7 linked regions of the Macaca fascicularis genome follow. The protein of the gene in region 7 interacts with the protein of the main gene of each other region in a pairwise test. Links are inferred from orthologs where the notes say so. Each region holds a gene or a part of one and is shown on either strand. Other genes may lie near its edges.

The links.
Region 1: the proteins of DISC1 (region 7) and PPP5C interact in a two-hybrid assay, tested with the Homo sapiens proteins (2 studies listed by BioGRID and IntAct). The link is inferred for Macaca fascicularis from reciprocal best matches to the Homo sapiens genes DISC1 and PPP5C.
Region 2: the proteins of DISC1 (region 7) and SPTBN1 interact in binary tests that used the Homo sapiens proteins (3 or more experiments, as listed by UniProt). The link is inferred for Macaca fascicularis from reciprocal best matches to the Homo sapiens genes DISC1 and SPTBN1.
Region 3: the proteins of DISC1 (region 7) and CCDC88A interact in a two-hybrid assay, tested with the Homo sapiens proteins (2 studies listed by BioGRID and IntAct). The link is inferred for Macaca fascicularis from reciprocal best matches to the Homo sapiens genes DISC1 and CCDC88A.
Region 4: the proteins of DISC1 (region 7) and FRYL interact in a two-hybrid assay, tested with the Homo sapiens proteins (2 studies listed by BioGRID and IntAct). The link is inferred for Macaca fascicularis from reciprocal best matches to the Homo sapiens genes DISC1 and FRYL.
Region 5: the proteins of DISC1 (region 7) and KCNQ5 interact in a two-hybrid assay, tested with the Homo sapiens proteins (2 studies listed by BioGRID and IntAct). The link is inferred for Macaca fascicularis from reciprocal best matches to the Homo sapiens genes DISC1 and KCNQ5.
Region 6: the proteins of DISC1 (region 7) and UTRN interact in a two-hybrid assay, tested with the Homo sapiens proteins (2 studies listed by BioGRID and IntAct). The link is inferred for Macaca fascicularis from reciprocal best matches to the Homo sapiens genes DISC1 and UTRN.

Annotation. Positions count from the first base shown.
Region 1 is NC_088393.1:54,379,203-54,383,191, reverse strand, and holds the start of PPP5C (serine/threonine-protein phosphatase 5), read right to left. Parts: upstream 2,801-3,989; 5' UTR 2,791-2,800; coding exon 2,670-2,790; intron 1-2,669. UniProt on the Homo sapiens protein: Serine/threonine-protein phosphatase that dephosphorylates a myriad of proteins involved in different signaling pathways including the kinases CSNK1E, ASK1/MAP3K5, PRKDC and RAF1, the nuclear receptors NR3C1, PPARG, ESR1 and ESR2, SMAD proteins and TAU/MAPT.
Region 2 is NC_088387.1:67,390,502-67,394,764, forward strand, and holds the start of SPTBN1 (spectrin beta chain, non-erythrocytic 1), read right to left. Parts: upstream 2,801-4,263; 5' UTR 2,684-2,800; intron 2,393-2,683; exon of another isoform or gene 2,201-2,392; intron 2,163-2,200; coding exon of another isoform or gene 1,603-2,162; intron 1,506-1,602; exon of another isoform or gene 1,435-1,505; intron 1,142-1,434; coding exon of another isoform or gene 971-1,141; intron 890-970; coding exon of another isoform or gene 765-889; intron 1-764. Other genes in the region: uncharacterized protein, read left to right, coding at 765-889, 971-1,141, 1,603-2,162, 3,069-3,396. UniProt on the Homo sapiens protein: Fodrin, which seems to be involved in secretion, interacts with calmodulin in a calcium-dependent manner and is thus candidate for the calcium-dependent movement of the cytoskeleton at the membrane.
Region 3 is NC_088387.1:66,479,896-66,483,395, reverse strand, and holds part of CCDC88A (girdin), read right to left. Parts: intron 2,203-3,500; coding exon 2,075-2,202; intron 1,936-2,074; coding exon of another isoform or gene 1,833-1,935; exon of another isoform or gene 1,583-1,832; intron 1-1,582. UniProt on the Homo sapiens protein: Bifunctional modulator of guanine nucleotide-binding proteins (G proteins). Acts as a non-receptor guanine nucleotide exchange factor which binds to and activates guanine nucleotide-binding protein G(i) alpha subunits.
Region 4 is NC_088379.1:48,354,044-48,357,987, reverse strand, and holds the start of FRYL (protein furry homolog-like), read left to right. Parts: upstream 1-1,144; 5' UTR 1,145-1,338; intron 1,339-3,944. UniProt on the Homo sapiens protein: Plays a key role in maintaining the integrity of polarized cell extensions during morphogenesis, regulates the actin cytoskeleton and plays a key role in patterning sensory neuron dendritic fields by promoting avoidance between homologous dendrites as well as by limiting dendritic branching.
Region 5 is NC_088378.1:102,410,311-102,414,474, forward strand, and holds the start of KCNQ5 (potassium voltage-gated channel subfamily KQT member 5), read right to left. Parts: upstream 2,801-4,164; 5' UTR 2,675-2,800; coding exon 2,277-2,674; intron 1-2,276. UniProt on the Homo sapiens protein: Pore-forming subunit of the voltage-gated potassium (Kv) channel broadly expressed in brain and involved in the regulation of neuronal excitability.
Region 6 is NC_088378.1:48,552,103-48,556,390, reverse strand, and holds the start of UTRN (utrophin), read right to left. Parts: upstream 2,801-4,288; 5' UTR 2,776-2,800; coding exon 2,682-2,775; intron 1-2,681.
Region 7 is NC_088375.1:17,386,538-17,390,037, forward strand, and holds part of DISC1 (disrupted in schizophrenia 1 protein), read right to left. Parts: intron 2,652-3,500; coding exon 1,672-2,651; intron 1-1,671. UniProt on the Homo sapiens protein: Involved in the regulation of multiple aspects of embryonic and adult neurogenesis. Required for neural progenitor proliferation in the ventrical/subventrical zone during embryonic brain development and in the adult dentate gyrus of the hippocampus.

The sequences.
Region 1 (3,989 bases), on a different chromosome or scaffold from region 7:
CCAGGTTCCGCTCACCTTTGGGCCTTTGCCACCTGTTTTTTTTTTTTTTCTGCCTGGAGTACCGTCTACCCTCTCTCCAGGCAGCCACTCTCACTTCCTCTCTGAAACACTTCTTGAATCTATTTCTGTCCCTCCAGCCTGGTTGGCGATCACCACCCCTCACCTGTCCACTAATCTAGCCTCCTTCCTGTCTTACCCTGGAGTCCAGTCTCTGCATGGCAGCCAGGGATCTTTTCTGAATGGTAACTGAACCACGGCACCCCACTCTTGAAACATCCCATGGCATCGACCACCCTCAGGATGACACCCACATTCCCCAATCTGACTTCCAAGGTTCTACCTCTGGCCTCATCTCTCACTGGTCCTACCTCCCTCTCATGGCTCCCACCAGATCAAACTTCTCCATACTTTGCTTCTGCTCCTGCTGGAGGCCAACTCTTTTCCAGGGGTCCAGATCCTTTCCACCTCCACCTTCTCCAGGGTTTTGCTGCTGCAAGTCTCCCCTCTCACATGCAGAATCAATTCTCCATCTCTACTGGACTCTACTCTCTTCCATCCTTACAAAAAATCCATCTTCCCCTGACACTGCATGTTGTTTTTTTTTTTTTTTTTCTGTCTGTTGCCCAGTCTAGAATGCAGTGACGTGATCTTGGTTCACTGCAGCCTCTGCCTCCCAGGTTCAAGCGATTCTCCTGCCTCAGCCTCCCCAGTAGCTGGGACTACAGGTGTGTGCCACCACACCCGACTAATTTTTTAGTAGAGACGACGTTTCACCATGTTGGCCAGGCTGCTCTTGAACTCCTGCGCACGTTCACTTCTTACCACCCTCCCCCATTTCTCCACTCTTCTTCAGAACCAATACTCCTAACACTTAACATTTGCTCTCTCCACTCCCTCCCTTCCCATTCACTCTTCAGCGCCCTCTTGGCTGCACCAGCCCCGTCATTCCCCAACAACTGCTCCTGTCAACATCACCATCAGCATCCACGGAGCCAAAGCCAATGGCCAGTGCTCGCCTTGGCAGCATCGGACTCAGGGCACCAGCTCCTTGTTCTATAAGCGCTCTCTTCTCTCCGCCTTCCCGACACCTTTCCTGGCTTCCTTTCCACCTCACTAAGCGGTCCTCCTTAGCCTCCCCCTCTTCCACTCGGGATCTGTCCTAAGTCCCCTCTCTAGACCCTCTTACTAGATTATCTCATCCATTCCCAACCATAGTTTGATCACACCCAAATTCTTCTCCAGTCCAGACTGTGCCATTTACTTACTCAGTGTGTCCTCCTGTAGGGCCAGGAGTGGTGGCTCACGCCTGTAATCCCACCACTTTGAGAGGCTGAGGTGGGCGGATCACCTGTGGTCAGGGTTTCGAGACCAGCCTGGCCAACACAGCGAAACCCCGTCTCCACTAAAAATACAAAAATTAGGTGGGCATGGTGGTGTGCATGCGCATCTATAATCCCAGCCACTCGGGAGGCTGACGCAGGAGAATCACTTGAACCAGGGAGGCGGACGTTGCAGTGAGCTGAGATTGCGCCATTGCACTCTGGCCTGGGCAACACGAGTGAAACTCCGTCTCAAAAAAAAAAAAAAATTCCAAACTGCTCTTTGCAATGACTCGGGGAGACCCTGCATGATCTGCCCTCTGTCCTAATCTCATCTTGCTATTGGTCTCCCGCTAACTAGCAAAAGCCCCAGCCATGCCAGTGTCCTTTCATTCCCCACCCCAGGGCCTTTGCACAGGCTGCCTTAACTCCCTGGAACACTCCTCTCCAGTTCTTCCTCTGTGAGTTTCAGCTTAAATGCTTCCTGCTCAGTAAGGCCTTCCCCCACTACCCTATCTAAAGTAGCCTCCAACCCTTATTCTCTACTTCATCACGCTGCTGGTTTGCTTTCAAAGCACTCATCACAATTTAAGTATTTTACTTATTTACATGTTTTTTTTTTTTTCACGTCTGGTTCACCTGCAAAATTACAAGCTAAGGACAGGACCACATCTCTCTCCTTCACTGCTATATCCCTAGAGTCAAGCACAGTCCTTGGCACATAACAGGTACTCAATAAATATTTGTTGAATTAATGAATGAATGGGTGCCCCACACTTGACTCTTTCTCAATATTCTAAGTGACACTATTCTTGGGGATCCCCACCCCTACTCCCAAGGCCCCCACCATCACATTCCTTTTCCTCGGTCAGCCCAAATCTCCTACTTCCTTGTTCCGCCCATCTAATGATCCATTCCCCACCCCCACGATTGCCGCCTCTATTGGGACTGTCCCTCCTCTACTCCCCAGTTGGCGGCACCCACCCCAGGACTCCCCACTTGGTAGCGCCATCACTCACTCCCCCACCACATGTCACTGCCTGGTAGCGCCCTCTACAGGCCTCACGTTTGGTAGCGCCCTCATTCCAGTCCCCCTCTCGCCCCACAATTGGTGACGCCCTCCTCAGTCTCTCCACTGAGTAGCACCCGCTCCGCACGCCACTCCTATGTATCACTCTCCGAAGCCCCCTATGTCGCCCCTTGGTAGCGCCATCCTGGGCCTCCCCACGCCCAGTCACTTGGTAGTGCCTGCCCCGCGCCCAGACTGCAGCTCCGCGTTGCCATGGTTCCGCGCGGGCCCGGCACCCTCGGCCTGAGCCGCTGTCCACCCTCCCTGCTAGGCGGGCGCACCTTTGAAGTAGTCATTGGCCTGAGTCTTGAGCTCCTCTGCCCGCTTCAGAGCGCCATCAGCCGGGTGCTCGTCCCGGGGGGGCTCAGCACACTCAGTCCGCTCGCCCTCCGCCATCGCCATGCCGCAAAGCGACCCCTACCCTGGCAACGGCCGCCAGCGGCACCCGGCCGAACCGTCGCGAAGGAGCGCCGGGTGGCCGCCGCCGCTGCCGCACAAGTGTCGTAAAGCGCGGGCCCTGAAGGGGCCCTTCACGCGCCTGCGCAGGTCCCTCTCGCCATAGAGCGCGCGGAGGACAAGGTGACCAGAGGGTCCCCGGACGGTACCCCTGGTAGAGAGAACCAATAGGGAATGAGAGAAGGGGCGCGCGGGGAAACAGAGCTGGTGTGGCCTCTGCTCCCAAAGTTACCGTGTTCCAAGGCTGTAAAAAGTTTCTCGGTTCTTAAAGTGGGATTTCCCTGCTGTCCTCTAGGGTTGGGGGGTGGGTTGTGAATGTCGCTGGCGGGTGTGGCTGCTTTGCAAGGCAGCGCCATGCCCTACGCGGAGCCGGACCCGGGCGTCGAGCCCTATTGTCAGCTACCTGTGTGACCTTGAACAAATCTTCCCTTCCTCTCTAGGGCCTCAGTTACCCATCTCTGAAAAATGGGTGGCTTCTCAAGCCAAAAAAGGTCCAACCCTGAGGGTGTTTCTGAGTTTTTAAATGAAGGCACTCTGGATTTCAAGTCCTGAGCAAGGCTCAGAAGTGTGTTGCACCATCCCCTTTCTTCCTGTGTTCAGCTTCCCAAATCCTGAATCTTCAAATAAACTCTCCTGTTTGCCTTTTTACAGATTCTCTTGTCTGAGATCACAGCGTTGATTGCATGCACTCTGCCTCCCTCATTTACCCTTCACATGGCAGCTAGAGGTTTGGTTTTGTTTTATTTTGTTTTGTTTTGAGAGGGAGTCTCCCTCTGTCGACCAGGCTGGAGTGCAGTGGCGCAATCTAGGCGCACTGCAACCTCTGCCTCCCGGGGTTCAAGCGATTCTCCTGCCTCAGCCTCCCGAGTAGCTGGGATTACAGGTGCCTGCCACCACGCCCGGTTAATTTTTGTATTTTAATAGAAACGGGGTTTCACCACGTTGGCCAGGCTGGCCTCACTGCCGACTTCAAGCTATCTGCCCACCTCGGCCTCTCAAAGTGCTGGGATTACAAGAGTGAGCCACTGCACCTGGCCGAGGGATCTTTCTAAGACATAATAAAACCATGGCACACCCTCACTCCCAGCCTTCCATGGCCCCAGCACCCTTAGGAGAAAACCCAAACTCCTGATTAGGAGACCCTG
Region 2 (4,263 bases), on a different chromosome or scaffold from region 7:
CACGGAATAAATGAATTATAGAAATGGCATTTAGAAGGGAAATTCCCTGTGTCCTGGCCGAGACCAAACATGAGAACATTGGGAACCATCTCCTCCTAACTAGATACCAGTCAAGAGGCCTTGGTGGTCTGCCCTTCTCCACCCTCTCCACAGTCACAGCTGTGAAAAATATGTATACAAAAAATACATATAAACAAACACAAACGCAGCCTGTTACTGTCATAATCCCATTAGTTACGCCTGGACACTAAACTCGGCTATCTGAATCAACAGAAATCTGAATACCAACTTACCCTCCATCATGACACTCATACACCTAATAATCCTTAATAAAGCATCCAAATAATGCAATTGTACTTGACTTAGAAAGAGCAAACGATGAAAACAAAACAAATACAGGCTAAAGGAATCATTTACTATCCATTAAAAAACATATACATTCCTTTTAAAACAACCTACTGAATTTTAACATACTTATAAATGTCTTAGTGACATAAAAACTAAAACACATTAATCATTTCATTTATAAAATGGTTTCCTATAGAAAAAATGCATGCTTGGTATTAACCAAAGACAGAAGAGGTACTGTAATGTCACAGTTGCGAAGGTCCAATTAATAAACACCAACTTTTCATGTAGAAAGAAATTAATGCATAGCTGGGTTGTGGTTATACATTATGGATGATCCACAGAATAACGCTGCGACTCCCCACACTGACTGCACCATTGCCTCCGCACACCACTGGGCCCCGTCCTTCCTGCAGCCCCTCCCTATGGCTCAGGTCCCCTGGTCGCAGATCAGATTCCGATCCGCATCCGCAGGCCGGCTCCCCTCTGCCTGCATTGGTGCTGCAGGGGGCCCCTCCGAACGAGCGCAGCCCAACGAGAGGTGCAGGAGGGATGATCCCAAAAGAGAAGACTCTCCCCTGCTCACACCTAGGTGACCTGGTCCTCCTGACGCCACATCCAGCAGAAGCTGCAGGACAACGTAGTGGCAGCTTCAGGCCTCGGCCAAGGGCAGCCCCGGGCCTGGGTGGGGCCGGGCGGGGGCCGCAGGCGCCGAGCGGCCGCCAAGCCCCGCCAGCGAGAACCAAGGAAGCTGCGATACTGCTGCATTGTGCTGCATCACGGCGAGGGCACCGTGAGCCATCCATCTTGCCAAAAAAGCACATCCCCTCCCAAATAAACCCCACCGAATTCAATTTTCTCCTCCGCCAAAGCACCCCCACACGCACCCCGTCCTCACTATCTGGCCTGGCTTTGGGTTGGAAAAATAATGGACAGAGGTTTGCGTTCTGATCCCCACCCCCTCCCCATCTGATGGCAGCAGTTGGCACCCTTCCTATCACAAAAACAAAGAGAAGGCGCCCCCTAAAAGAGGGCCGTGGGCGTGGTGTGGGGGGTGATGACGAGAGGGGCTTCCAGCCCACCTACCCAAGGCAGGCCCGGAGGGTCCCCGCGCTGAGACAAACCTGTTGAAGAGAGGGTGGCTGGAGCTGAAGGGCGGGCGCAGCGGCGGCTCGGCGCCCGGAGGCGGCTCACGCCCAGCCCTGGGAGAGTGGGGACGGCAGAAAGGGCGGGGGGGCGGGCGCAGAAGGGTAGCGAGCGCTGGGACTGGGCGGGGGTGGGGGCGCGGGGCCGCCGCCTCCAGCTCAGCTGCAGCGCGGCGCAGCCGGGACCACGCCTGGCCGCATCCCCTGCACCGCTACGCGCAGAGCCCGGCCCTGTCACAGCCGCCCCCGCTCCCCACCCGCGGGGCCACAGGGAGGGCACCAGAAAATAGACCCTCCTGCTGCCCGCTCCGCACCCACCTCCGCGCCAGGGGCCGCCGCGCCCGGCTGCAGGGAGGCGACGGCGGAGGCAGTGAGGAGGAATCGCCGGGGCTGGGGCCGGGGCCGGGGCCGGGCGGCAGCGGTGCGCACGGCGGATCTGCGGCCGCCTCACCGCAGAGCCTGCCGCCCCTCGTCCCGCATCACCCGAGTACCAATGAGCACCCGCGACCCGGGCTCCCCGCGCCGCCCCCGCCCGGGCTCTGCAGCCTCCCTGCCCCCACGCGGCTCCCCGGGCGCAGGGCAGGCGGGCAGCCGCGTTCTCCGGCCCTGGGCCCGCGCCCCTCCTCCCGCCAGTCCAACGCCGCGGAGCCTGCCCGGGAGGCAGCCCCAGTGAGTTGGCATCTCCCTACCTCGGGCCCCCTACCTACCTCCCGGGGATGGGGTGGGGGCGCCGGGGTCCCGTCCTCCTCCCGCTCCTCGGCGGCCGGGCGGGTGGGCCGGGAGGCGACTCCGCGGGTCTGTCCGCGGCTGGGGCCGGGGCTCACAGGACGGGACCAGTGGGCGCTGCTGCGCAGGGCTGCGCGCTAGCTCCGGGAGGAGAGGCGGCCGAGGGAGGGACTGGAGGAATCCGCAGCCTGCACGGCAACAGCTGCACTGATTCCGGGGGCTGGGCGGGAGCGCGGGGGGCGGGGGAAGGAGGAGAGGAGGGCGCTCGCAGGGAGGGGGCGAGGGGCGGGGAGAGGAGCGCGCGGGGCGGGCGCGCGCGCACACACACACACGCGCACTCGCGGACTCCCTCCCGCACGCCCTCCGCCCTCCGCACTCCTGCCTCCCTCCTCCCTCCCCCCTCCCGCCCGCTCCCTCGGCTTCGCCAGCCCTCTCCTGCTGCCCCGAGCCCCGCAGCTGCCCACCCGGCGCTCGCTCGGCCAGGGAGCCGAGCCTCGGGCGCGTTCTCGTCCTCTCCAGCCGAGGCTTTTCCAGGGCCCATCCCGGACTTCATCCTCCCAGCGGCGGGGACAAGGCTGGCCGGGGCGGGGTGGGCACTGCTGCTGCCGCTACCCGAGCAGGACAATAGGGGCTTTGTCCCCACAGCCGGAGAGGGCCAATTTCACGTTTAATTTGAGGCTAATTCGATTATCGCCATGGAAAGAGGCGGTCTAATTTTCTACGTGACTTATGCAGCCTCTTTTCGCCCTTGATGTTGCGTTTGGAATGCGGGGGAGAGAGGGTGTTTAGGGAGGCTTTGGAGCGTCACTTGCTTAGTTGGTTTGAGATGCAGGTGGTGATGCCTTACAGGTTCTGCCCGGCTTGGAGAAGAGAAGGGCGACGGCGACCTCTTCGTGGGAAACCTTGGGCGCTGGAGGGTGGGTGGGGGTCGTTCCTTGGCGAGGTTAACGTATTCTTCTTTTGCAAATGCTTTTTCGCCCACCCTTTCGCTTTGGGTAGCTGGGAGCAGACCCTACAAGTGGTTCATCCACCCAACTCCTGCCTCTCAGCGCAGGCTCCGCTCGAACCTGAGGCCAGGTGCCCTGCCCAGTCATTCCCGAGAGTGGGGTCGTCCGGCCGCGGCGGAGGGCCCGTGATGGCGTGGGGACTTGCGTTTTCCCCTGTGCGCATTCCTTGAAAAAGAAACTGGACGTTTCCTCGAATTTTTGTCATGTGCCATGCCCCTTCCCAGTCACCTGGTCTACCCCGTCAGCCCCTCAAACTGTGTAGAAATTCCAGAACCGTCACTATTGTGAAGAAAAGATGGTGGAATCACCAGGAACCCGAATGGAAACGCTCTTTAGAAAACAGTTTGAAGAAACTGACTTTCTCCTTGTTCTGTAAGGTGCACAAGGCGGCACTGCGGGCATTCAGAGGGAGGAGGGCCCTTCCTGTTTGAAAAAACACCAGGGATTTTCCCCATAAAGACCTGATCACCTGGATTAAAACAAAACAAAAATAAAAGGCAATCAAGTAGTTTGGACCATGCTTCTATCTCAGATCACTAGAACCTGGTCTGATGAGTTTATATGTTTGTATTTTTAAATGAATATTTTAAAATAAAACTTAATGAAATTTACACAGCAAACTGAAGGTGATTCTTCGTTTTAGGCCTTCATAGGTTTGAATGTTTGAACCTACGTTTACTTTTGATAGATAGGAAAAAAATTGAGGAAAGCAAATAACATTTTTTCTCAGAAGGTGAATCAACACAGCCACACGGTAAACTCTCTAAGGGTAGGGTTCGTTCTTTCTTCACTCTGTACATATAGCAGGCGCTTAGGAGATACTAAAAAAACATTTGTTGAATTGAACAGAATCAACTTGTAAGCTGCTGCCCTCATTAGGTAATAAGGGAAATCCACTAGAAAGCAAAAAATAAAGCACTTATTTATTTTTTACCATAGACCCCAGCACCTCCCCACCTACAATGTTAGTGAGATACCAAAGAAAACAGTAACAATATTGGGAAGTGCATGCATTTAAACTAATTCTTCCAGTGTTA
Region 3 (3,500 bases), on a different chromosome or scaffold from region 7:
CTGATACACCTAAATCCCAAGGTGGAGGGAATGGCACATTAAAGGAATATATGTCTGTGAGCTTCTGGGTTTTTTTTTGTGACATAAAGACTAACTCCCTGGCTGAGAAAGAAGCTGGTTTAGTAGTTCAAGCCACTTTCTATTTCCAAAAAGCTTTAGTTCAACATATACCCTTACCTCCATGCCTAATATGTAAATAAATATGTGGAAATAATGAATGCCATCACATGTTGCCTAGACTATTATAATCACTTCCTAGCCTGTCTCTGTGCTTACAAATTCATCCTTTTTGTAATCCATCTTTTATATACTCTAAAAATTGCTCAGCACATTTTTGTGCTTTTATACAAATGCTTTTGTCTACATGGAATGCCCTTCCCCACTGTTCCCACCTTGTAAACCTCTGTCATTTTTTAAGATTCAGTTGAAACATTATCACTACTTCGATGCTAGATGATCAGCAGATAAGAAGAGCTCAATTAACATTGGCTAACTGTATGAATTAAGGTTTGGGACGAGGAGCCAAACTGTATAAAGGGTCCACCCAGAGCTGGGTTCATAAATTTATATGAACCTAGGGTCACTTAGCACTATAGGGTGTACTCTACTTTTTCTTTTGCAAAGAACATGCAGTACAGTGTCTTACATATAGTAGATAATAAATCTGTTTGAATAAAGAGGGGATGCATATTCAGTATCTATATTAAAAGACAGTCAATGAAATCTGCACTTAAAACTATCTGATTAATTCAAATAAAAATATTTCCTCATGAAATATCTGTATAATTAATTCAATAATCATTGCTTGACTTGAACTGATTGCTAGAATATATGCCTCAAATTATATCTCTGTTATTACACAACTAACTTTTTAAGTATCAATCTATCCTATTTACTTTGAACATTCTCAAAACTACATGAACAAATCACCATTAATTTTTCCAATATACATTTAATATAGAATATAAATACTGGAACAGTAATAATGAGTAGATAAAATATAAGTTATATAATTACAGAAATGGAATGAAAATCTAGTCTACATAAAATAATGTTCTTAACAATATACAACCTCTATTCCAGCTGGATTCATGGAGCTGACTGGATGCTAAACAATAGACTACTTGAAAATCAGATTAACTCTATTTGATAGACTGTAATTACCATGAGAGAATATATATTTTCTTTAAACCTATACTGATCATTTTTAAAATTAAAAGGCATATGAGTTAATTTTTTAACTCATATCCAGCTTTTAACGCTTTAGTTTTCCACATTATTTTTATACCTCAGTTGCTTTTCTTTTCCTTTGTTTCATACTTTTCCTCCATTTATCTTTAAGTCAACATTGTGGCAAATAAATGAAAGAACAGAGGTATTTAAGCACATGATTCAGATAAAAAATAACTTGCTTAATTGACTGTGTTTGATGAGCCGGAGGTTGGTTTGTTGTTAATGTCTTATTGTTTTCACAGTCAATTATAGCCTCTGATCTTCTGCTACCTGGGTAGCATCCTGTTTTCCTATTTTATAACTGTATTTATATAGTAACATTTTAGGTTTTTATTTTCTTGTATCTGTATTTAGATTGTCTATGATTCCTCTTTTCTCCTTAAGAACTTTTTTTTTTTTTTTTTTTTGAGATGGAGTTTCACTCCTGTTGCCCAGGCTGGAGTGCAATGGCACGATCTCAGCTCACCGCAACCTCTGCCTCCCAAGTTCAAGCGATTCTCCTGCCTCAGCCTCCCGAGTAGCTAGAATTACAGGCATGCACCACCATGCCCGGCTAATTTTTTTGTATTTTTAGTAGAGATGGGGTTTCTCCATGTTGGTCAGGCTGATCTCGAACTCCCGACCTCAGGTGATCTGCCCGCCTCAGCCTCCCAAAGTGCTGGGATTACAGGCGTGAGCCACCGCACCCGGCCACACAACTTTCTTTAAGGGAAGAAAGGAACCAGAAATAGGGTGAAATATATAAATGTTTTCTATAGCTAATACAGAAAATAACTAATGTATGAGCAAAAAAAAAAAAAAAATTTTTTTCAACTGTTTGCCAAGTAGACTTAGTACTCACCTGTCATCAGTACTTTGCTCATCATGTAAGAGTCTCTCCTTATTCAACCCTATCTTCTCAAGCTCATGAGTTAATTTTTCAAGATCATTGTTCATTTGTTGGGTCTTCAATTTTTCACTCACCAAATCCTTATTTTAAAAGAAATACAAAACTCACGTGTCAAGGGCATAAACATCTAAGAAAGTCAGCTAAGATTCTAATTACCACCATCTAGGAATACATGTAATTTGAACCAGGAAATGTCGTTAAACCATTCCTTCATTATTAAAATGTAGCTGAAGTTATAACCTAGTTGAAATAACTTTTTTCCTTTTTTTTTATGCTAATGCGTTAAACAAAACCTTAAAAGGGAGTAGTAACTCTTTACTTGTGAATACACATTTAGGTTTGAAAACTGTGGGGGAAAAACATATCCATTTACTTTTTAATAACGAGCCTGAACTTTAGTGCACCTTTCTTCTTATAAATATATGTTGACTATAACACTTCTCTCCCACAAGATCCCTTCTCCCAGTGAAAGAGGTCTTATGATACTGATCTGAAGAACTAGAGGATGTTCTTAGAAGTTTAGGCACAAGGAACCTGTTGTTCATGTGTATAAGTCTACAGAAGAGAAAAATAAAAGGTCCCTCTCAATGCCTCTTTAGCAGAAATGCAGACTGCCCAATGTGACCTTCTGCCAGAATGCTAATATACTTTTAAATTGAACTTAAACGGTTATCACATATTATAATGCTTAGAGATGGGGAAAAAGAGCCAAACACACACCTTCTGACTTGCACCAACCATGTTTCACAGAACATACTGCCAATTTACTCCTGGAAGTTTCAGAATTCTTCTTGATACATAGATTCAAGCAAATACTAGTTGCTCAGTGTTGAACAGTTGAACCTGATTTGCATTCTCTGGCTTTGAGGTCAAAATTCATGGGGCTTTGGAGTCTGAAAAATCTGGATTTGAATCCAGTAATCCAACTCTGCTATTTATTAGCCGTGTGATCCTGAGTAAATTATTTAATGTTTCTGAACCTGTTTTCTCATCTAAAAAATGGATATAATACTTATAAAGGATTAGTTGTAAAGATTATGTGCATGTATATATATGTATATATATTTGTGTGTGTGTATATATATATTATTTTTATATATACAACTTACATGAAGATTTTAGCCCAGTACTTGGCACATAGCACTCAATAAAAAGTAGCTATCATGATTATTATACTTAGAATTTAATAAGAGTTTTGATCAAGCATTTTATCATTATATTGAAATAAAGGTTTAAAATTATAATGCAATAAGTCAGATACCACTAGGAAACTTTATTACTACAAATTCTTTTAAAAATACAATTTATAGGTATTTCTTAGTTTAACAAAAGTAGGAAACTTGGAAGGTATTTCTAGTTCTAATTCCAAAATTCTACT
Region 4 (3,944 bases), on a different chromosome or scaffold from region 7:
AGCTTCCATGGGAAACTGGGGAAACTCTAATGCAGACCCCGCACTAGGCTTCCCCATAATTTCTTCTCTTTTCAATGGGTGAGGTTCCGCTCCATGGTCCAGCTTCTGGTATCAGACTCCCTCTTTCCCTTAGAGAGACGCGTTTTCTTCTGAGAAGCACTTCAGTCGTTCAAGAAACAGCCGTATGGTACCCTCTTGGGTTCAACTGACCTGGGGTGTTTTTCCTACAGTTCTAGCAAGGGGGAACGAAGTCCTACACTTTGAGGATGGCATAAGGGTACCATCTACTTAATTTTTTCAAAAAAGTAGCAGGTCTCGTGGAAACGCCGGAACGTCACAGAAGACGTGACTTAAACGGAACTTGTGATGGAAATGATTTTCTAAATTAACAATTGCGAGACAAGCAAGGAAATCTCCAGGTTTGCAGATAGCTTGATTAAAGCTCTTCCGGGTGGCAAAATGCCAGTGCAATCAATGGTATGAGTAGAGCGGACAGTGGATGAAATTTGTTGAGTACATCTCAGGACGAATTAGCACTGGACTTTCAGGTATTCTAACTCAATTCTAATCATTCCATTCACTGGATCATTGGATAAGGTTCCGCAGGATCCGGGCGCCAGCTCTGGATACATTACTCATCGGGAGAAAATTTCGAATTTTTCTCTTATCCCTTTCCAGCTTTCCTCAATATAGGATATGAGTTTGTTCTCGACCCCTAACAACATTTAAAGGGAAAGTCGCTCCTAGCAGGCAAAGCGGGGAGGACTTTGCGGCTGTGTTTCTCAAGCCCGTAAAGGGAGAGTAATAATGGTAGGGGGCGTGCAGACTAGCTCTTTCCTTGCCCAATCAAGTGTACAGGAAGATGTCTTTTCACCAATAAAAATAAAGTTCGCTTTCCAGGGGCGGGAGGGTGAGCCACTGCTCCGAAGCGACATTTGAGGCGAGGGCAGAGAATGATTAGAGGGAGGACCAACCCGGGAAAAGGGGCGGGGAGAAGGTGGGAGCAAGTTTGAGCGGCGGCTGGCCAGGCCAGTGGAGGGGGAGGACTGTGTTCCTGTTGTAGTGTCTCTCGCCAATCAGGAAGGCCAGAGGGTGGGCGGGGCAGGGAAGGGGTGGGAAGAGCTCGCAGCACAGCCGGGCGGCCGTCGGGCTTTGGGAGAGAGCGAGAGAGAAATCCGGTTAAAATCAGAGTCGGAGGGAGGTTTAACCAAAGATCGGTTCCGTTCGGATTATTCCTTAAAGGGGACGCGCCATTGTCAAGAGAACGGAGCCAGGGGCCCGAGGGCGGGGACTGGCGGCGCTGGAGGAGCGAGGCAGCTGTACTAGGACTGGGGACGGGTAGGTGTTGACTAGGGAAAGGCGCTTCATTTCACTTTCTCTTCCAGCTCGGGGGCAGGCGCCGGGATGCCCGCCGCCGGCAGCCCAGCCTGGGCGGGAGACGAGGTGGTCGGCCCTCGCCAGCTGCCCTTCCTGGTGGGCGCTGTGGGGAGGCGGTCCAGGATGGCTGGCAAGCGGCGCGGCCCGGGCCGGCGCTCGTAACGGACACCAAACCGCGGCGCAACCCCAGCCTCAAACGAAAGCCCGCCCGAGCTCCGGCGGTTCCGCGGGGACCGCCGCGCGCCCAGCTCTCCCGCGCGTCCCCTTCCCCTTCCGTGCCTGGCTCTTCTCGCGCGTGCCCGGGTCCCCCTTGCTCGCCGCCTTCTCGCGCGTCCTGCTCTGCTCGCGCGCCGCCTAGCCACCGACTCGCGGTAGCCGCCCCGCGGGAAGGAAGGCGGCGGCGGCTGCAAAGGTGGAGGAAGACCGGCGACCACGGCTCAGCTACCCCGGCTCCACCGCCCCGGCTGGGAAGGGAAGGCTGAGGAGCAAACTTAGCGCGGCGGCTGGTGGGCCCCGGCGGGCAGGGCTGCCGGGGACCGGCGGAGCGCGCCAGCCCGGCCGGGCATTGTCCGCCTTTTCCCTTGCTCTGGTCTCTCCGCCCACTGCTCGCGGCCCTGGGGAGGGGTGCGGGCGCTGTGCCCGCGCCGCCCCGGGCCGTTGGCGCACCCCGGGACCCGGAGCTTTCCGGAGCCAGGGCCAGCCCTGCGGCCACCGCCCGCGAGCTGACTCGGCCTGTGGAGTGCCTGCTGCTCTCAGTCTCGGCACCGGGCAGGGTGCCTGGGCGCTGAGCTCTTTACAACTTTTCTTTGCCGTTTGATGGAAGTTGTTGCTTCCGGGCGGCAGGTTCTTTGGGCATAGCCTGGTTTCCTGCGTTCTGGAGAGGCTGGTTTCTAGGGCGAAATGATTGGTTGCTGCTGGTATTTCCTGCCATCCTAGTTTCGTTCCTCGCCACCTGAAATCGCGTTTTTATGGATTTGCAATGATATGGTTGCATTAATCTTTCCTAGGCCAAGATTTGAAAAGAAAAAAGCTGGGGGGGGGGGGCGTTAGGGTGTGTGCTTGTGAAAAACAAGAGTTCTTAGTAGAGCTGAATTTGCCCTTACCTTTGAACTGCAGAAAATACTACCTCGATTCACTGGCTGGCGTTCTTTTGGAAGGGTTGGGGAAAAAAGACACAGCAAAATAGGTTGCCGGGGTCTGTCGGATTGCGGGGGGAAAGGGGTTTTGATGGAAATAAGGTTGGTTTTATAAAATGCTGTGCTGCCTAGGAGATATCGTCTGTAAAGTTGATTCTGCTACTGAATTTATAGGCATTATAATTCGTACCAACAGCTTTTACTATTGATAAAACTAGTATAAGACGTCTTTTCATCTTGAGTATTATCACTCTGCTTAACCTGTCAATACTTGCTGAGGAAATCAGAGATAGCACATTCCTTGTTAGAGGCCTTAGTGAAGAATGTTTTCATAAGCATTCATTTTTGACAGTTTCTCCTTGTGCAATACTTTGTCGAGTACCTACATGTGCAAGTTACAACCGTATAAACAAAGTAGCAGTGGGTGTGTTATTCTCTGGTCTTTTTTCTGCTACTCATTATCAAAAATAGCATTCCATCGTGTCTTTTCTTACACTCTGAATTATTTTGTAAAATTAGTTCTCTAAAAGAGGGAATTTTGTTGAAACATGTGACCCAGTTTTTTTTTTTTTTTTTTTTTTGATTAAAGCAATCCAACTTTTTAAAGTGTTCATTGATTAATTTGCTGTCTAGTAGCTTCCGAGTGGTGTGGAACATTGTAAATTCACAGGCTCAGCAGTAACAATAGAGAAACTACTTGGGAAATTGAAGGCCAATATCAGATAATGTTTGAAAGAAAAATCTATTCTTCTCACAGAATTTAGGAAATGAAGACACACAAAAACAAATTCTTTGGGTTCAAGTGATCATCCTACCCCAGACTCCGTAGTAGCCGGGACTACAGGTGGGCACGACTGCGCCTAGCTAAAATTTTTATTTTTTGTAGAGATGGTGGTTTCACCTTTTAATTTTTTATATAGACGGCTAGTCTCCAACTCCTGGCCTCAAGCGATCCTTCTGCTTTGGCCTCTCAAACTGCTGGGATTACAGACTGAGCCACCGTGCTTGGCCGTTTGTAGTAATCTTGATGGTATCTGGAATTGTTTCACCTAATATTCCTTCTTTTCTATTTTTTTCTTTGATCCATTTCTGTGATAAGGATATCAGGTAAGCAGCTAGGCATAATCTTCCTTCCCATCTCATAGTAAGTAGACGGTTAAACCAAGTTTTTTAAAGTCTGTTTTTGTTTACTTACTAATTTATTTAAACAATAAAAGAATTTCTCAACTTTTAAAAGAGCACATATAAATAAAACATTCAGAAATAATTATCTTTGAAATATCTAGACTGTATTTTCTGAAAAAGACTTTTTCCTCTTTTGTGCTTTCTACATTGTTTTAAACACATTGTTTTATATGAACACATTTCTTGAGTTATGAACTGTTTCTTGAGATCTTTGGGAGCTAGGATTATCCTCCATTTCTGTGCAGA
Region 5 (4,164 bases), on a different chromosome or scaffold from region 7:
TCCTCCCAGAAGATGATACTATCCATTCCCTCTTTGTGCTAATGTGGATCTAGCACCCCTATCTAATTGCTGAGGCATTACAGTTTCAGACTCTAAAATATATAATGCAAAACTTCACATAAGCTACATCTATTAAGTACGTAATTTATTTCCTATCTACCACTAAAGATACTGCTAGACTGATAAAGCTTGGTGGATAGAGAAGTATACAACCTTGAACCTTTGGAAAAATAATTTATCAATGTTTTAAAATTCTGTAAGCCCATACAAACCTGTTAACACCAACACATGGAAAAGAAAATGTTGCGTTGCAAGTTCTCATTGATGTTCAAGAACAAGTTAGGAGATGCAAAGTATGTGCACCAACCAAGGCTTTCTTTAACTCTGTCTGAATATACAATGCATAATATACCAAAAATGAAAGGCTAGAAATGGTATCATACTTAAAATTCAAAACCATACATATTTTGAGCATACAGTTGTAAAGAAAAAATCATAATCTATACAGTACATATTTGCTACCAAATTGAGTATCATAATTGCTAAATTATTTCAGTATATTCTGACAGGTCAAAATAATTTACCAGGCTTATTAAGTAATATGTTTAATTATATATCAGTTCAGAGGAGATTAATATGAAAAGTGTCAGTAGCATTTCTCTATCATTATCCTAACCACATTTAAATAAATGTGAATCTTACATAAAAGTTATACTTTTTGATGTAATACTGATGCAACACAACCGTTCTCCTTGTGTGCACTGTAAAACGGAAAGTTGGCTGGAATATTCCGCCTAATGCTACATGTTCACATCAATCAGAAACTGTAAAATTTTCCAGATACCAGAGACCCACAGATTGTAGACTCCACCAATTTCCTGACTCCTATGTGGTCGAATTCCAGGTTCACCTAGTTACAAAACCAGCCCTTCTTCCACGTTATTTCAAAACACGTTTCTGGTGTTGATGCTAATTCTACACCCCCGGAGAGAGTTATGTACGGATGACACAACTTATCTCTAAAAGAAACCTAGTCCGTGTGCTCAAGACTTATTTTACTAGGAAACAAGGAATGTATCAGCAAGTATCTGCAACTTTCTCTACTGGTCTTCTAAGGTTGATGTCTTTATATTTCATCTTAACAAAAAAGAAGCAGAAATAATGATACTAAAAAGAGAGGAAGCAAAAGGAGAAAAGGAAGAAAAAAAGAATTAGACATGAGGTAACATTATAAAAACAACCTTAAAATGCCCAGATAAACGTGACTCTAATAGGAGACTGAATGAATGGACTTTGTGGGAAAAACAGTAGTAAACTTTAAAGCCACTGAAAGGTTTTAAATGCCTAAGGGAAAAATAAACATTTGCTTCCAATCATTTTCTCATTAAGCATTCTCTGCTAGATGGAGAAGGCTTACTGAAAACACACACACACACGCACACACACACACACACACACACACACACACACACTTTGACTCCGCCCCACAAATGGGGACTTAATCCACTGCCTGATCTCTGTCCGAGGCGACCCATTTGCGCTTCTGCTATCGCACCTCTGCCCGCGTTCCTGCGCCCCAGGTTCCCCGCTGCCTCCCAACCCGCTGCAGCGCGGGAGCCTTGCTTCGCCTGGCCTGCTGGCCTCCTCTAGACCTTGGCCACCTTCTCCGTGGCAGGAAGGGCTACATGCACTGACAGATTTTCCGTTGGTGGTGGCTGGGTGGTGGCGAGGCGTGTTTCCGGGCGCACTTAAAACCTAGCAGCTCTCTCTACCAAGTAGCAGCTTCCCCTATTCCGCCCCTAGGACTGAGGACCTAGCCCTCGGTACCACCTCACTCCTCCCGGTCCTACCCAGCCATCACCTCCTAACCTCCCCAATGTACTCTCAAGCCTCACACAGGCGCCTGTCCTCCCTTTGCATTCCCTAGCTCCCGGGCGCCCCGTTCGGTTGAAGTTTACGTATCTTGGGACCTAATTGCTCCCAATTATCCGCGCAGCCTAAGTCCCGCGTCTGCCTGGCTCCCGCCCCGGGAGCCTGAAGCTGCCGGGCAGTTCATTGGGTGTCCTCGGGGAAATGGTTCAAGCTGTAGAGATGGGAGAAGTGGGGCTGGGGGAAGGGAGAGGCTCCAGAAGGAAGACCACGAACACGTGCGAAGAAATAAAAGCCACCACGTGTGCACGCGCGCGGGGCCCAAGGGCGCGAGCGCGGAGCACGCCCCAGGGGGCCAGGGACAGTGGTCCCCTGGAGCGGGCATAGCAGGGGGCGCGGGTACTCACACGAAAGCGTGGTAGATGAACGCCCAGCCGCGGGGTCTCTCCAGCACGTTGTACAGGTAGTTCTGCACCCGCCGGTACTTGACGTTGCGCCGGCAGCTCTGGCTACTCGTGTAAGAGAGCGGCTTCCCCAGCAGGCTCATCCGGGCCCCCTGCTTGCCCCGGCGGCTCTCCCTCAGGCCACCGCCGCCGCCACCGAGCGTGGCCGCGCGGGTGCCCAGCAGCAGCAGGCCGTCGCCCCTGGCGGCTGCCGAGTTCAGCAGCACCCTGCCCCGGCCCGACTCCACATCCTTCATGCCGCTGCCCAAGCGCCCCCCGCCCTCCGCCGCCGCCGCTGCGCCGCTCTTCACCCAGAGCCCGGCGGCGCCGCCCTCCTCTCCTCCCGCGTGGTGGCGGGGCATGGCATCACCACGGGCACAGCGAGGGGGCCGCCAGCGCCTGCGGCGGGGGCAGCGGCCTCATGTGCGCCGGCGGGTTTCAAGGAGGAAGCCGGCGGCCGACGGGGCGCCCGCCAGCCAGAGACCTCTGAGCCGGGGGCGGGGAAGCAGGCAGCCAGCAAACCGCCCGGGCTTCGGGGCGGGAAAGGAGGGGCTGCAGAGGAGGCCGAGGAGTCCCGATTTCTAACAGCCTTTAGCTTCGAATTCTAAATCCGGACCTGTTTGGGGCGTCAGTTTGAGAGGGTTTCTCTTTCTCCCTCATTCCCGCGACTACCACTCCCTCCTTCCCAAAGTGCCCCCGGGGACGGAGTGGGGGAGTGCGGGGCGCTCCGAGGCGCGCTCCCACGCGCGCACACCCAGCCCCAGGCTTCCCCTTTCTTCCCTCTCTCCACTCCCCACGCCTTGCAGTGAACCGACTCCAGAAGCCCCTCTCCGAGGCGCTAGTTTGGTTTGGTTGTGGCAGGGGCTTTGCAGCTGTCCGGAAGGTGAAGTCAGCCTTGTGTCCTGAGGAGAAACTGGAGACGCAGGTCGCTGTGCTCTCCCGCTGCTACGTCGCTGCGCCGGATCCTGCCATCCTTCCGCAAGGGGTGAGAGCGGGAACAGCCCTGCCCTGCCCTCCAGGTATTAGCTAGCCTGGAGGCTGGAGCGCAAGGTAACGCTCCAGGCAGTGGCACTCGGGTCCCCGCACACGGGCGAGCCCTCCGCAATTCAGTGGACAGACTCGAAGGACGCGGCTGCCGAGTCCGCGAGGCAAGGACCAGGCATCTTCCCGCGTCTCACTCCAGCCTGCGGACTGTGACTTTCCATCCCAGTATCAGACAACAAGCCCGCGAGTAACTGAACATCCTTTCCAGTCCATGGGTGGGGTGTGGAAAGGGCGTAAAACTCCAAAGTTGCTCCTCCGCTGTGAGCGAGCTGCCCCGGGGCTCTGCTTGACTGCGGCGCGAAGCCTGGGAGAACAAACCCGGTTCCCTCCGTCAAGAAATTTCCATTTAAGTCCAATAAAGTAATATGATTGAGAAGTTCGGCAGCGGCAGCGAGGACCCCAGTGTCTGGTAAAGAAAACCTGAGGGTGGGGTGTCCCGGACGCCAGCTTTTTGGGGTTCCGACCCCACCCACCTTATGTTGTAACTTACAAGCTTAGAGACCTGTTGCAAGGAACAACTGACTGGGTCTTCCACCACCTCTGGCACCCGGGTGGTCCAAAGCCCAGGCACCCTTGGCGGAGAGAGAGGCCACGGTGCCACTGGCCGCGGCCTCTGGCCTTCAGAAACAGTATATTACAAAGAAAAAGAAGTTTAAACCTCACATTCAGCATAGGGAAAACTGAAGGATGCCAGGCTCGGGGACTTCTTCCAACAGAGTGACTCTTCCCCGAATATGAACGAAAACAATCATCAAATTAAACTGAAGGGAAAACTAAGCTTCCACCACAAAGACACAGCAGATAGTTG
Region 6 (4,288 bases), on a different chromosome or scaffold from region 7:
GAGATAGAGATGAGATAGATAGATGATAGATAGATAGATAGATAGATAGATAGATAGATAGATAGATAGATAGACAGACAGACAGATAAGCTAGAGAGAGTGATAGAGATAGTGATAGAGATAGAGATCTTTTTTTTTCTTTAAACAGAGTCTCATCCTGTTGCCCGGGCTGAAGTGCAGTGGCTCAATCTCAGCTCACTGCAACCTCTGCCTCCCAGGTCCCGGCGATTCTCCTGCCTCAGCCTCCCAAGTAGCTGGGATTTCAGGCACCCAGCACCACGCCCAGTTAATTTTTGTATTTTTAGTTGAGACGATGTTTCACTACATTGGTCAGGCTCCTGGCCTGAACTCCTGACCTCAGGTGATCTGCCCTCCTCAGCCTCCCAAAGTGCTGGGATTACAAGCATGAGCCATTGTGCCTGGCTGAAAATACTATTTTTAACATTAAATTTAATGTCCTTATTTCTAAGAAGATCACTAAAGAGTCTATACTATGGACACACAAAAAAAATTCAGTTCAGTAATAACTGATGACAATCTAGGCCCTTGTGAAATTCGAAATCATGTACACGTTGGTTTTCTATTTTTATTAAAATAACATGCACTGAAATACATTTTATTTTTTAAAATGGTATTTTCCTAAAAAGCCTTTTGATTGGTCTTAGAGCAGGAAAGAATGTTATCTAAATGAACCAGAACTCAACCAGCACAGCAATTAAATATATTTAACACTGTAGCTACTCATTTAAAAGCCTGCTTTTTTTTTTTTTTTTTTTTTTTTTTTTTTTTTTTTTTTTTTGACAGAGTTTCACTCTGTCACCCCAGGCTGGAGTGCAATGGTGCGATCGCTGCTCACTGCGACTTCTGCCTCCCAGGTTCAAGTGATTCTCCCATCTCAGCCTCCCAAGTAGCTGGGATTACAGGCACCCGCCACCACGCCCGACTAATTTTTGTATTTTTAGTAGAGACCAGGTTTCACCATGTTGGCCAGGCTGGTATAAAACTCCTGACCTCAGGTGATCCGCCCGCCTTGGCCTCCCAAAGTGCTGGGATTACAGGCATGAGCCACCACCCCCAGCCAAAGCCTGCTTATTATTTAAAGGTTTGTTTGTACTTTTCTTCTAGTTGTCTTCTGATTTCAAACACTATGGTTACCCCAGACCCTTTGTAGCAAGACCCTTTGATGAAGACTAGCTGACTACAGAGACTCTCAATGTCAGGGAAAGAGAGAGGATTTAGTCACAATCAAAGGAAATCTTCGAAAGGTCACAAGTCTGCAATAGATGCTCCTATGCAGGCTTTTGAGACAAGATATCCCCCTGTTGTCCAGACTGGAATGCAGTGGCATGATCATGGCTCACCACAGTCTCAAACTCCTATGTTCAAGCTATCCTCCCACCTCAGTCTCCTAAATAGCTGGGACCACAGGCACATGCCACCATGACTGACTGATTTTTTAATTTTTTGTAGAGATGGAATCTCCCTATGTTGCCCAGGGTGGTCTCAAACTCCAGGCCTCAAGTGATCCCCCTGTCTCAGCCTCCCAAAGTGCTTGGATTACAGGTATAAGCCATCATGCCCGGCCCGCATGGAGTTTTAATTTAGGTCCCTGAGAGGTATTTTGATTTTGTGTTGGGATCACATGGTTATTTAAGAAAGAAGTAACAGCTAATGATGAGAATTGTAGTACACCAATCTTCTATGCCACTTGTTCAAGACACCCAATTCACTAAGAAAATATGAGCTGCTCCAATCATTTTGGTTTGAATTTGCTCCACAGAGACAACACTTACAACCCCTTACCACCTCATTCGCTGAAGCTAAGAAGGAAAACATTAAGAGGGAAAGAGTAATTCCACAAAAAAGAAAAACATTAAAAAAGAAAACCAACCAGCCTCAAAGTTTTTCATAGTGACAACATTCATGCATGATGTGTATAATCAAATAAAACACATCACTTGGGGTTATTTTTCTCTCCAAAAGTTCATACAACCAGTACACACATGTATACATTAAACAAGATATGAACATCTAAACTGATCAGAAAAACTAAGTCACCCCGGAAGTAAACTTCAGTGAGAGAAAAGTGCATGACACTTTCCCTACACAAAGTTAGGCATATACACGTCTCATAGAGAAGCCTGCACTGAAACAGAAACCCCAGCGCTTATACAATCCCCCAAAGTACAAACGTTTTATTCTCCCCTTTCTCAGGTTGAAACTAAATATTTCAAGAAGTAAAATGCCTTTTTAGCCAACAGAGTAAATCAAATACAATATGGGATGAGGTCGACCAATACTCAACACCACACAGGAGGCTTCTTCTCTATACGGCAGTAAACGGTCAGCACAGAGTAAGCTATTTTGAAAATCTACAGGGAGGTAAAGTGAAGCACATTTGCTACCACAAATGTAGGGATCCTGGAAATCTTCTTTCAAAGAAGCTAATAACTCTAGTGAATTATCACCTCCTGAAGAGAAGTGCAAAGCAGACAGCGTTAGTCTCTACTCTTCAGGGTCCACAACAGATGTGGCAGCAGGAAGGACAGGCTGTCTGTTCCCGTCACCAGCCTGGTCCTAAGCTTTGGTACTTAACAAAAGTGAACGAGAGAGCCCTGTCTCCAGAGGCGCTTCCTATGAAAACCTCACTGGCTGGGAGTAGCACAAGTTGACAAACTTACCTGGTAATCTCTTGCAAGCCTGGACAGCTACATGCCCTGGCAAATCCAATCTGCACTTTTTCCAGTGAAACGTGGTGGCTGCTGGGCTGCTCATCACCTACATCTGCTTAGATGACAAGGAAAAAGATGTGGAGGAAGTGGACAACAAAAGCAGCCTTCGAACTGCACACTGGGATGTCTTTTTTTTTTTTTTTTTTTGTGGCTTTTATTTTTCTCATGAGAGGATCTGACTAAACCTAACTAACCCCACCTCCTCTAAACACCAGACAGGAAGTTACACTTTGCAGTCAGTGAAAACTCCTTAGGTAGGTTTTTTGTTTTTTTAATAGTCACAACTAAGGGCCTCTATTCATGTTCCTATGACAGAGATTATAACTTTGCTTCCTGTTTTGACAGTGTCAGCTGGGAAGGGGCACTCCACCCACCTTCCTACCCACTGTGTACATAAATAAAGGTGTTAGAAGGTGATTGCCCTGGGTATACAACTGGCCTTAGGAGTTTTGTTACATATTAACTATACTTCAAAGAATAAATTGGGCTTATTATTTCACTGTAGTAGCTATATATACCTTGGGGAAGTAAAACTCAAAAGGATTTCTTCTTCATCCCTTAGAAATTGCTATTATGGAAAAAATAAACCTAACCACATGCAGCTATAAGATAAGAGACCACCATTTAGACTATTTTTTCCAGCCTATTCTCTTTTATGGTCGCTTTGCTCTCTTTATTATCATAGTTTTTTTTTCCACTCTTGTCACCCAGGCTGGAGTGCAATGGCATGATCTCGGCTCACTGCAACCTCCGTCTCCTGGGTTCAGGTGATTCTCCTGCCTCAGCCTCCCAAGTAGCTGGGATTACAGGCATCTATCACTACCCCTGGCGCTTTTTTTTTTTTTTTTTTTTTTTTTTTGTATTTTTAGTAGAGACATTGTCTCACCATGTTGGTCAGGCTGGTCTCGAACTCCTGCTGTCACTTCTGCATGTGTCCTCCACATACATGCAAAAAGCAAGGAAAATCATTATTCATATGATCATTATCTACTTTCTAGTCCTTTTCTCATTCTTTTTCTTGCTTGTTGTGAAATAGAAATTTTCTACTTATTATCAAAGACTTTTCATAGAATATGTATCTTTGTCAGGATACACACAGGTTTGAATTCAAAGGCATCTCTCATCCTGCTACTGTACTGTGGTACAGAAAAGAGAAACTGACAGTACTTCCCCTTCGCTCCTCCTCTTCATCTCTACATTTTCCTTAGACTAGCAGCTGTATAACTCTGGCAAAATACTCTCTCTCTCTCTCTCTCTTTCTCTGTCTCTCTCTCTCTCAGCCTCAGTCTCCAAATCTGTAAAATGGACAAGCTGACTTCACCTGTCTTCTAGGACTGTCACAGGCAGAGAGACCAGGAAAAGCGCAATGATACAGATGATGTCACATAGTCAATACCCAATAATCTCTTTTTGCATCAAACTTTATTGATATATAATTTATATATTATACAATTAGCTCATTTACACTGTATAACTTAATGATTTTTAGTATTTTCAAAGAATTCTACAACCATCACCACAATCGATCCCCATCCCTTAGCCCAATGCAACCACTG
Region 7 (3,500 bases):
GAGGCCGGCCAGATGTGGAACGAGGGAGAGGGAGGTGTGGAAGATGGTTGTGGTTTCTGGCCTAAGAAACTGGATAGATTCTATGCATTCGAATCAACCAATATTGGAGGCCCTTCAGAATGGGTTTGGGGGAAAGACAAGGGCATTGGTTTAGGCAATGACTAACTGGAAGACTCCACACATCACCCAGAATACCAGCCTGCATCTCTGCTCTGGCCTCAATCCCTCTCTGCATAATAAATCAGAGGGCTGGGCTGAGGTCCCTGAGGGCTGAAAAAGGGCAAACAGGGACAGGGCTAGGAACACCAGACTGCAGATAAAGAACGGAAGGTAGATGCTCTTTCGGGGAATGAGCATGAGCTTCTGCAGATTCTCCTCCCAAATGCCTGATGAGTGGGTGCTCCACTTCCCTACTCACATGAACACATCCCCACACACATGCGAGTGCACACACACCCACAAATACATACTCACACACGCATGCATACACACACATGCACACACAGCACAAACATGCACACACACATACACACACACAGCACAAACATGCACACACATACACACACGCACACACATGCATACCTATATGCACACACGCACACACACACACCTATATGCACACACAAACACGAGTGCACACACACCCACAAATACATACACTCACACACGCATGCACAAACATGCACACACAGCACAAACATGCAGACACACATACACACACGCACACACATGCACACGTATATGCGCACACACACAAACACATGAGCACACCCACAAATACACTCACACACGCATGCACAAACACACGCACATGCACACACATACACATGCACATGCAAACACATACAAGCACACACATGCACACCTCTATGTGCACACACACACACACAAACACACATATGTACACCCACCAGGATTAAAACACAGTCTGGCAATAGATCAGCCACAGAGCATCTCTACCTGGGCTTCTCTGGGAATTTTTGTGGGTAGAGGAACCCTGCCTACTTCTGGCTATACCCACCTCTCAGATAACTGGATAGACAGCAACATCATAAGGCTGGGCCTTAGATGTCTCCAGTTTGTCCTTATTTCCAAAGCAGCTACATTCTCATTTGAGCCTTAGAACAATCCTATGAGTTGGTGTTATCTCTAAATACGGAAACTGAGAGCCGGAGAGGTTCAATGACCAGAAGCGAAGTCTCCTGATCCTATGGAAGGCAGCAGTCACTGCAGCAGGATGGAAGGGAATGAGTGAAGTGGATGAAGAGCAGGATCGCCCTGATACAGGGCATCCCCATTTTTGTATCTCTCAACCCCTTCTAAACATCATCCAGCTCAATCTCCCCTGCCCCCAGTTTCCTGTCTCAAAGCAGAGCTGAGCTGAGTTAACCACGTCTCACCTAGGCCAGGGCCTGTGGAGGAGCCTGCGGCCCAATGGAGAGCAAATCTGAGCACCTACGTGACAGAGAAGACAAAAGGGAGGGTAGATCTGTGTCCAATTCAAAGAGACAGAAGTGTAGCAACATCCTTGTTCAGCCAGCTCCAAAAGGAGCTGCTGCAGCTTTTAGGAGGATAGCAGTTGAGCCCAGAACCCCTCACTTTCTGCCATCTGCCCAGTGCTAATCTGAGCTCACGACAATCTCGGGCTGCAGAGGTGGAGGAGACACTGACCTCCACCTGCCTCCGGTTTCTCAGCAGGCAGTCCCGCAGCACTGGCTCCCATTTCCTGAGCAGGGTGTCCCAAGAGTGGGCATCCTCCGATCCGCTGCTCCCATCACCACCACAGCCAGCCAGTGAGGGATCCAGAGAACTGGAGGAACCAGAGTCCATGTCCGGTAAAGAATGCATCTCACACTCTGGCCTGGAGCTGTTCCCGGCGGCCTGGGCCAAGTCCTCTGAGACCTGTGTAGCCAAGAGACTGAAGGGCCGAGAGAGACATCGAGGGTCCTTATGAGGCCCGTCCAAGCTGGCAGCTTTGGCTCCCATCTCCTGGGGGCTCTGGCAAGGGGACTCGGCCTCTCTGGATGGTGGGCAGCCTTCTGCTTCTCCACGTTCCCCGGCAGAGCCAAGCGAGAGCCGAATAAAGCTAAAGCTTGAGGCAAAGGCACTGTGAGAGCCAGGAGGGGTTGGGGGGTCCTCAAGGCCACAGCCAGGGTTGCAGCTATTGCTACTCAACTCTGCTGATGGCACAGAGCCTGCTGCCTGGACACACCTTGCTCCATCACTGCAGGCTGCCTCCCAGCTGGTGTCCAAGGTCTCAGAACTGTCCATGGCTGCAAACTCTTGCTGCCACCCAGCATTCCCAGGGCCACACAGCCTGCTAAGCCTGTCAGGCAATCTGGTGCCACCTCTGAGCTGAATCCCAAAGTGTGCCGAGGTTCCTCTCACAGAGGTCACAGCAGGGGCTGCTGCGCTCTTGGAAACAGGGCTCCCAACCAAGAGGCCTCCCAGGTCAAGGCCACACTCTCTGGTCTTGGACTCCAAGTGGTGGGACTCCTCGCCAGGCACCCCTCCTGGGACCCGGAACAGTGTGCCCACTGCTGGGGAAAGGAACCCGATCCCAGGCCCTGTCGAGCTTCTCATGTAGCCCGGCCTCCGTGCCAGCCGCCGCCTCCGAAAGCACGCTGCAGGTGGTAAGCAATCCCGGCCGCCTGGGAAGGAAAGAGAAAACAGCACTATAAACGTGCAGTTCTTACTGGCCCAGCTGGAACTGCATCTGGAGCACATCCCTAGGTTTAAAGGTCATCTCTCGGTACACCTGTCAAAGATACATGCTGGCTCAATGGTCCTGGGGCCAATCCGTTATGAAAATCCCAACAATCCTCAGGAAGTGTTTGCCTGGAACATGTAGAAATCAACACAGCATCTCAGCTCCTGGGTTTAGCAGAGCAACTGGCACTGCTGTATGCTATGCCCACAGGTCAGCATGAACACAACTTTGGTGGCTCCTGAACCCTCCAACATCTTGCCTGTTGGTCTTTTATGGCACATCAGTACTCTCATCCTGGAGTGGGCCTGGAAAGCAAATGACGTGAAAGTGGGATGCCAGAGCATGCCCCTAAATGAGATCCAACCATTTACTCTAGCTATTCATTGAACAACATGTGAATGTTCACTAGCGGGGCTATCCATGTCCCTGCAAGACTGATCTGTTGCTGCAGACCCATGGATAGCTGGCTGTGCTGCAATGTATGGCCATCATCTCATCTCACTCAGTGAATGACAGGAGGCCTGCTTGATGTGTTCTCCAAACCAGCACTGCATTCCCCTTCCAGCTAGGCTATAGGAATAGGAACAATAACAAATGCTGATTCCTCATTGCCTGGTTCAAACCCTGACTGTACCACTTGCTGGTTGTGTGACCTTCCACAAAGTTACTTAACCGCTCTGTGCCTCAGTTTCCCCATCAGTAAAGTGGTGATATTAACAGCTCTCTCATAAGGTGGTTGTGAGCTTTCAACTAAATGAGTTACTATTTGTAGACAGCTTAGAACAATGTC